Linked DNA regions of Bombyx mori. The protein of the gene in region 1 interacts with the protein of each later gene in a pairwise test. Links are inferred from orthologs where the notes say so. Each region holds a gene or a part of one and is shown on either strand. Other genes may lie near its edges. The genes, in order: rho GTPase-activating protein 100F and neurexin 1.

Region 1 (4,412 bases):
TTATAATTACACAAATAACCTTCATTAGGCTGTTCTCAGATTCAAATGACACTAAAATGCCAAACAAACAATATAGTTTTATAATATAACTAGCCGTACTCGCCCGCTTCGCTGGGCATTTAAAATTAACATTATTATATATTTTCATTATTATTAGGGAGTCCAACACTCATATAAATATTTAGCCTATCCATTAAGTACATATATTTTCTATATGAATACCAAGTTTCAAGTCAAAGGATGCATGGTTCAGTAGTTATTATGGAACATTCGTAAAAACCACTGTAGATTTATATATTAGTATAGATTGGGTTTTTTTTTCCTTAACGAACTTGTATATATTATGTGTCATGATTGAATAATCGTGAACTGTTCGGGCACCAAGAACGTGACCTGATTGGAAGTTACTAAACTGGTATAAAATTTTAGTGATTTAATATTTCGTTAAGCCGAAATGTAAAACCAATGTGGCGGTGTTCATAATTCGAGTTCGGGCGAGACTGTAAATCTCGTGGGTCAGCAGATTTCACATCATGTTACATTGCGTGCCGTGCATAAAATATAGGTTAATGTAATTTTTTCGATGCGATGTCAATTGTTTTCTGTCGGGAATTATTAGTTATACTACTAATCTTAATTTTCGAGCATGGTTTGTTTATTTTATGACGACTAAAATTGTGACTAGGAAAAAGCGATGAGATCGAATTGAAAATATACTTCATAATTTATTATAATTAGGTATATTACTTTTTAGTTTTTTGAATAGTGTTAATAATGAGCAAATAAATATAATATAATAATTTGGTGTTATACAATAGCATGAATGAAATTTGGCTACATTTATAGTCTCTTTAAATAAACTAGAGGTCCCGCAGTAGTCAAAATTCGACTATAATTAAATGGAATTGTAAGTTTGTACACTATTATGATTGTAATTTATATTTCTATAATCACAAATTTCGCCAAGGCTACACTATAAAAAAATATTAATAAAGACAAACAATATTTAATCAATTCTCAATTTGACCACAGACGTCAAGAACAAAAGTTTGACAATAAATAGTATGCATGCGTGCGTGCGTCAAATACATGGTATGTAGTGTGTGTAATGTTTTCTTTATTGATTTAATGTGTCTTTTATGCATTATTAAAAAAAATAGCATTGTGCACTTCTTCTTTAAATTCTCTATAAGTGTGGAAAATTTCATACTCCTCCGTCCGTCGTAAAAAGGGATACAAAGTTTTTGCTTCACGTATTAATTCTCTTTAAATAAATAGTAATCAATTTTAAGGTTATTCAAATGACATGTGCGAGTAATCGTCCAAATAAGGACTTTGCGTTGTAGCGCTGACACGCCACTTGAAAGGGTGATGTCGAAATGCGATTAATAGGTCGTCAGTCGGCGTGTCGGGTGCACCGCGATAGTCTAGCGGCCGGAAGCGGCTCGCACCGAATAATCGCATCGATCGCCAAAAAACTAACCCACATACGCACTGGCAGCGTAGCCGGAATTATTAATCGTGAGGAGTAAGGGGCAAAGAGGGTGGCTTGGAGGGCGCAAGCGCGGGCTCACGGCGGGCACTTCGCGAGGAAGGCTCGCGTGCTCCGGCCGCGTCCTGACGCCCGCGGCGTCGCGATGCCGGCCCCGCGGTCGCTCTTGCAATCGCCGCGTTAACCTGTACCCATGCAGTGGCGAAAACTTACCAGGTTGAAGTCTTCGCCGGGCGGACAGTCGCGCGCTCGGAGGATGCTCTGCTGCGGCCGCAGGAAGGTATGCGATCCGATCGATAGCGCGCGCCGAAACCGTCGCCCCTCCCGGCACGGACGCCGACGTCGTTCGACGACCCCGCTCCCTAACGTCCCTCTCAAACATGCTTCTTTTGGGATGGTACCAAAGTCTTGTTCCCCTTGTATGCACTCATGAAAACCAATACAAGATTTTCACATGAGTTCAATGCAAGAATTTAAAATACATTTTAAGTTATGCTCATTTTCCTTATATCGTTGCGCTTAGAGGATCATTTATTTTTTAATCAGTCACACGAAATAACTTTGGAACCATTTATATAAATTTATTATTTAGAGTACAATACAATTTATATAATAGTATAATATAGTATTTTCTGAGATGATTAGGAAAATTCTTAGGTTAAGTTAACCTCAAAGACAAATCCTTAACTTTAGTAAGCTGTATACTGACGGGAATAGAGCTTGTTACTAGTCCCAAGATCGATTTATGTGGGAAGCTATTGTTAATAAGCAAGAAGCGCCCTCCAATTACATCAGTGGCTTTTTAATTTAGAATTATGGTGTCTTCAGCTCGCACTTGTGCAACATTCATTTCCGCTCCCCTCTTCCTCCTTTCTACAATTTAATTAGATTATAATTAGGCAAGATTTTCCTTAATGTTCAAGTTTCAATTAAATTTTCTTCATTAAGCCGTTTAAGTGCCGTGTTATAATGTGGGGTAACGAAGGCGACCCTCGCAGCATCTTACGCCATCTTGGTTTAAGATGTTATATTATAGGTAGACGCCTTGTCTGTGTCACCTAGAACTTATATCTTATATGCATTTTTATAGTAAAATACTACATGATCCGTCTTAGTAGAGTTTAAATACTAGAAGATGTATTTTTGTGTAGGGTGATTTAAATCATAGCCAATCTGGTATGAGAATTTGGTACAATAAGTAACTGAGATTATTTCTTTTATCGCATTGAAAATCGAATATATGGACATCTTAACGAATACATGGACTTACATCGTAATTTCTTTGAATTGGCTGGGTTGACTAACTCATGCTCTGCTCGGTTTGAAATCACAACGCAAACCCAGCCCCCCGCCATGACCTATGAGTTCAGAGTCTCAGTTTTAATAAATATTATGTTTTGTTGTGTTTCCTACTATCCAAGTCAAAACTTTGAATGTTTTAAGATACACACAAACATATAAAGATATCTATTCGTATGAATTCAAACTACGCTGTACTAAAATACGTTCTCATCATCTTTTCCGAAGAGCTCCATTTTAGTTGGTACATTTGTTCCTCAAGCGATTATTTTTTTCTTTTATCGGACTCATCTCCTTGAGTATAATTTTATAAATTCACTCAATAAATCAATTTTATAAATATATAAAACTAATTATTTTATTCATGAATAAAAAAAACAGTATTTTCAAATGAAATTATACTTCCCTTCTATAGGACGTAGAACTCTGTTTCAAAATGAAATTCTGTAAATGAATTCTCTATAATACGTATTGATTTTATGATCTTTAAATACTCGATTAAATATGACATAGCTTTTATGATGTAGCACGGTTGTTGTTAAAACGTTAAGTGTAGTGAATTTTTTTTTAATTGCTTAGATGGTTGGACGAGCTTACAGCCCACCTGGTGTTAAGTGGTTACTGGAGCCCATAGACATCTACAACGTAAATTCGCCACCCACCTTGAGATATAAGTTCTAAGGTCTCAGTATAGTTACGACGGCTGCCCCGCCTTTCAAACCGAAACGCATTCCTGCTTCACGGCAGAAATAGACAGGGTGGTGGTACCTATCCGTGCAGACTCACAAGACGTCCTACCATCAGTAAAATAATCATGCATCTCAGTGTGAAGAGTAGAAGTGGGTTTTTTGGAAGACTTCGATCTTCATATGTCAAGGTAGCTGGTGAAGTTTTAAGCTTGCCAAAATGGCCGTGATTTCCTCTGCCGCTGTGCACTTAAGACAGTTTCCTTCATTGATCACACACATTCATACATCTGAAAAACATTCGGTAGTACTATTTATTATTACGTGTACTGACTTTAATTAGCGAGTAGTAATTACAAAAAAAAAACCACTTGTTCGCTTTCAAATGTAAATTATAATTTAGATTTGATTGTCACGCTAGTTATAGTGACAGAATACAAGCAAACTTAATTAACTGTAAAAAAATCAGATTAAACAAGCGTGCAATTAGTTATTTTGCGTTACAGATTAAAATAAATCCAATCAATCATTATATTCCGTTGGAATTGTTACTGTTAGAATTTATTTAAGAAGCTTCTGGGTCTTTATTGTTAGGCGATGACTTTTGGCAATGGACACGTGGAAAGTACCAGCCTGATAAACTCTCAAATTCATTTATAGGTAGCGGCTTGGATGTGTGGATGAGCTCACAGCCCACCTGGTGTTAAGTGGTTACCGGAGCCCATAGACATCTATAACGTAAATGCCGCCGCCCACCTTGAGATATGAGTTCTAAGATCTCAGTATAGTTACAACGGCTGCCCCACCCTTCAAACCGAAACGCATTACAGCTTCACGGCCGAAATAGGCAGGGTGGTGGTATCTACCCTTACGGAGTCACAAGAGGTCCTACCACCTGTGAAATCTGATATTAATTTGATATTAAGCTACCAGAC
Region 2 (3,828 bases), on another chromosome or scaffold:
AGCTGGTGGTTCCCGAGAGTCAACTTGTGCCGGATACATACGTCGGACACGTCAATCGGTGTGGCTTTCATGAGGTAGGGATGGGGATGGATATAGGCCACTCCGTGAGCTTTAGCCCCCGTTGTGCAAAGGCTCTGGTATATTAATGCGGTGGAGCACCCAAATAGCGACTAGAAACTTCTAAATTTGACCATTTTAATTCTGTTTTCACGTTTAATACCGAATGTATTTCGAAAAAGAAGACAAGCGATTTTTTATATGTCTCCCACTGGACTGACGAAGCTAACGGCCGGCTAGTATGTTGTTATCGCCGGAACTAATAGACATCTCATCGCCGACTTTGGCACACGGGACCGAATTCTTGATTGCTTTACAAAAAAGGCTTCGGAACCGCATGGATTGCTGCCGGACAGATCTGAGTGGATAATAGTACTTATTTGTGCTGGCTTATACCTCCATCTGTAAGAACCAGACTGCCCATTCTTCGGCGGAACCTTTAGCCACATTTGCCACACCCATAGCAACGATTAATATGTTGCTATTTCGGCAACCGTGTGGTTGTGCCAATAGTGTTGTATTTTTCCTTAGACAGTAGAGGCATACGATGTATTAACGTCACTGAATATTATCAAAACAAACCTTATGCGTCTTCGAAGGTGGTCTCCTAGTCGAAGGTACATAAACGGGAGTGATGAGGTCATCACCAGACCCTGCGTCGGGGAGTACGCACGCGTCTTCGTCATCATCTCGGCATCCTGAGCCTGCTCCCGAGTATACGAGCTCGTCCAGTACTCCCGGCCCTCCGTAGCCCGATGGCGGGGTCTGATAGAACAAAAGAATTTCATTTATTTATTGTATTGTATCATTTCACTATAATTGTCTGTGTCATGGAAGATACGGGGTAGGTGACCCTGATCCCGTCCAGCTATTACTGGGTGCTCTTCAACATCCACAGAATTATGATGTTATTTCTATCTCAGTGTCTGTTTAAAACAATGTGCAAATGATTGGTTCTTAGGCAATTCGAAATTGTATTATACCAATGTAATTTTCATTAAGTTTTATTCTTATAACGAAACGGCTCCAACGATTTTTATAAAATTTAGTATACAGGGGATTTCGGGGGCGATAAATCGATCTAGCTACGATTTATTTTCAGAAAATGTTGTTTTATTCGTGTTTTCAATCATCAACTTTATTGATAATCAACTTTATCGACATCTATGGGCGAATAATAATACTATTTTTCATAATTGAGAGCAACTAACTGCTTTAAAGACACAATAACACTAAAGCTATTTCAGCAGATGGCGTTGTTAAGCCACCAGAAGCCAATGAATGTTTGGTTTAAGATTAGATCAAGAAAATGAATGGTTTATTTATATTATTTGTGTCTTTTGAACTCACGTGTTCACATAAAAATGCCTAAACGATCTTGGAATATTTCATCATTTTATCAATATGTAATTCGTATTTAAATATACTTTCTAAAAAACACAATTTATAAAAAAAAAAAAAAACAGGTCGTCGTCTAGTTATTATAAATAGTTGTAAGAACAATAAAAGAAAAACATAAGGTCATGCTCTTTTTTTTATTGCTTAAATGGAACGAGCTCACCACTAGTGTTAAGTGGTTACCGTAGTCCATAAACATGTAATGTACAAAGTAAATGCCACCAGCCACCTTGGGATATGATATGTTCGTACCTGTTGCATCCTGTTGATGTCCCTGTCGAGCGGCGCGTGCGCACGTCTGACGTCACCGCGCACGGACACGGCGGGGTCGCCGGCCGCCGCCAGCTCCAGCACGCGCACGCCGTCCACCACCAGCCCCGCCAGCACGCCGCTGTACGGGCGCGCCGAGCCGCCGCCGCCGCCCACCGTCACCACCGACATGCTGTTGAAGATCGTCGACTGCTGACCACCTAGAAACAGAACGGTAACCTTCATTTTATTGCAGGGTCCATTGGATCTCTAAAGGGAATGCCGTCACCCTCCTTGAGACATGACCAACCGTCAATTGTATTGTAAATCGCTGATCCCATAGTTCCAACAAGATGTCACGACTGCTTCAAAACCCTTGAATTATTTTAAGCTATTGTATAGGTTTTATACCGAATCAAGAAATTCCGTCACGAAAATAAAACCTAGCACCCCCACTCCGCCTACCATGTAGCTCGCGTTCAACACATTCACACGTTGCACTTGTGTACTGTTTGTAAATAAGCGCACGGCGTGACGTCGCACTGCATGCGCATCATCTAAAGTCTGCCCATCTCTCTCTCGCGCGGTCTAGCTTATGAGTGTGAAGGGGACAGTTAATGTTTTGCTTTCCGCGGCAGTCCCCGAGTGCCACACGTGTTTTTTATTACAAACCTTAGCGGTCTGACTTTTTACGAAAAGTTCCCTAAAGTCAACTTTAAAAAATCTCTCCACCTTGCGGATGCCGAATGATGACGTCATAGTTGTCGAGCTGGAGCGACGATCGGCTGCCGTTCCTCGTAAACCTCGCCACGTGGTACGCTCCATCATCGACCCTGGTCGTCTCGTCGCCGAGCGGATGGTCACCAGCACCAACGTTGTACACCATGAAAAGGTTTCCGCGAATCTGAAGAGCAGTTGTTGTTTTTAGTATTCAAATTCAAATTCAAAATCATTTATTTCAACTTAGATGTCAGCATAACACACTTGTTGCATGTCAAAATATAAATAACAATATTAACTGAGTTTATTTTTGGTTATTTCTCAAATATTTTCTTTTTTTTTAAATAAGTAAAAATATTTACAATAAACGAAAAAACAAATAAAAAAATACAATTTTTTTTTATTAAGGCCACATTAAGGCCTTTTTAATCGAACGGAATTATGACTTGGTTGAAGATTTTCCGGCCTCACTTACAATCTCCATCTGCATATAATCTTGAGTGTTTGAAGACTCGATTTTCAGTAACACAGCATCTGCCTTGCTGGTGACGAAGCCTAACGCCACTTTGTCCATCTCCGTATCCGCTACTGAGCTGGGCGGGAACGTGTAGGTTATTGTCCCTCTGCTTGGTCCGAATTCGTAAGCTATTGATTCTGGGTACACACAATACAAATAAGTTACAAAAGTATATAATCGTATTTCGAAATATTTTACGAACGCTCCAAACTGTAAATGACGCAATGATATGGGGTCGCAGGCTCACAAGAAACATCATAATCGCCAACCTTCAAACATAAGGTTAAAATTTCAATTGCCATTTTTTATAGACACTCATCTGACATTGGATGGCTATCGTCGCGCTAGACATCATCAATGCCGGAGGTAGGAACAAGACACTTTCTACTGTTGTGGAACGTCTGCAAGCTTCCTTTGAAGAAAAGCCAGACAGTACGTGGCAGAATAGATCTGTGGAAACGCACTGTGAGCACTGGTCCGGTGGCGAGCGATACGGTGATAAAAACGAAATGATGATATTCTCTCAAACAATTCGACAGAGCACTCTTCATGGACCATACGGTACAAGACCGAGGACTGAAGTCTCTCCGTAGACATAAAGGTTCAAAACAAAATTTTACAAGTTTTACTTATTGCTTATTGTTAATAATGGGCCAATCTCTGGGATTTGGGATCAAAGTCTATCCGTGGACTCGTTCGAACTTTTCGAAACAAATTTTTACAGGTTTTCTTATAGCTCGATTGAAAGTTAATAGCGAACCAGTGAGATTTAGGCTTTAGGATTTGATTACCAAAATTACTTCCCAAATGTTTGTTTTGAATTGCTGCTGTTGCTGTTGATTAGTCCACATCCGAGCAAAATATTAAGAGAACACTAGGATTAACAC

What was found.
Region 2: the proteins of rho GTPase-activating protein 100F (region 1) and neurexin 1 interact in a two-hybrid assay, tested with the Drosophila melanogaster proteins (2 studies listed by BioGRID). The link is inferred for Bombyx mori from reciprocal best matches to the Drosophila melanogaster genes RhoGAP100F and Nrx-1.

What each region holds. Positions count from the first base shown.
Region 1 is NC_085128.1:5,376,316-5,380,727, reverse strand, and holds the start of rho GTPase-activating protein 100F, read left to right. Parts: upstream 1-1,570; 5' UTR 1,571-1,685; coding exon 1,686-1,772; intron 1,773-4,412. UniProt on the Drosophila melanogaster protein: GTPase activator for the Rho-type GTPases by converting them to an inactive GDP-bound state. Promotes the anchoring of Liprin-alpha clusters at synapses. Recruits and keeps Nrx-1 levels high in active zones in the presynapse opposite the postsynaptic region.
Region 2 is NC_085131.1:13,180,863-13,184,690, reverse strand, and holds part of neurexin 1, read right to left. Parts: intron 3,079-3,828; coding exon 2,900-3,078; intron 2,609-2,899; coding exon 2,437-2,608; intron 1,926-2,436; coding exon 1,708-1,925; intron 823-1,707; coding exon 640-822; intron 1-639. UniProt on the Drosophila melanogaster protein: Neuronal cell adhesion protein involved in synapse formation, development of synaptic active zones, synaptic regulation and visual function. Plays a role in cell adhesion between the pre- and the postsynaptic cell.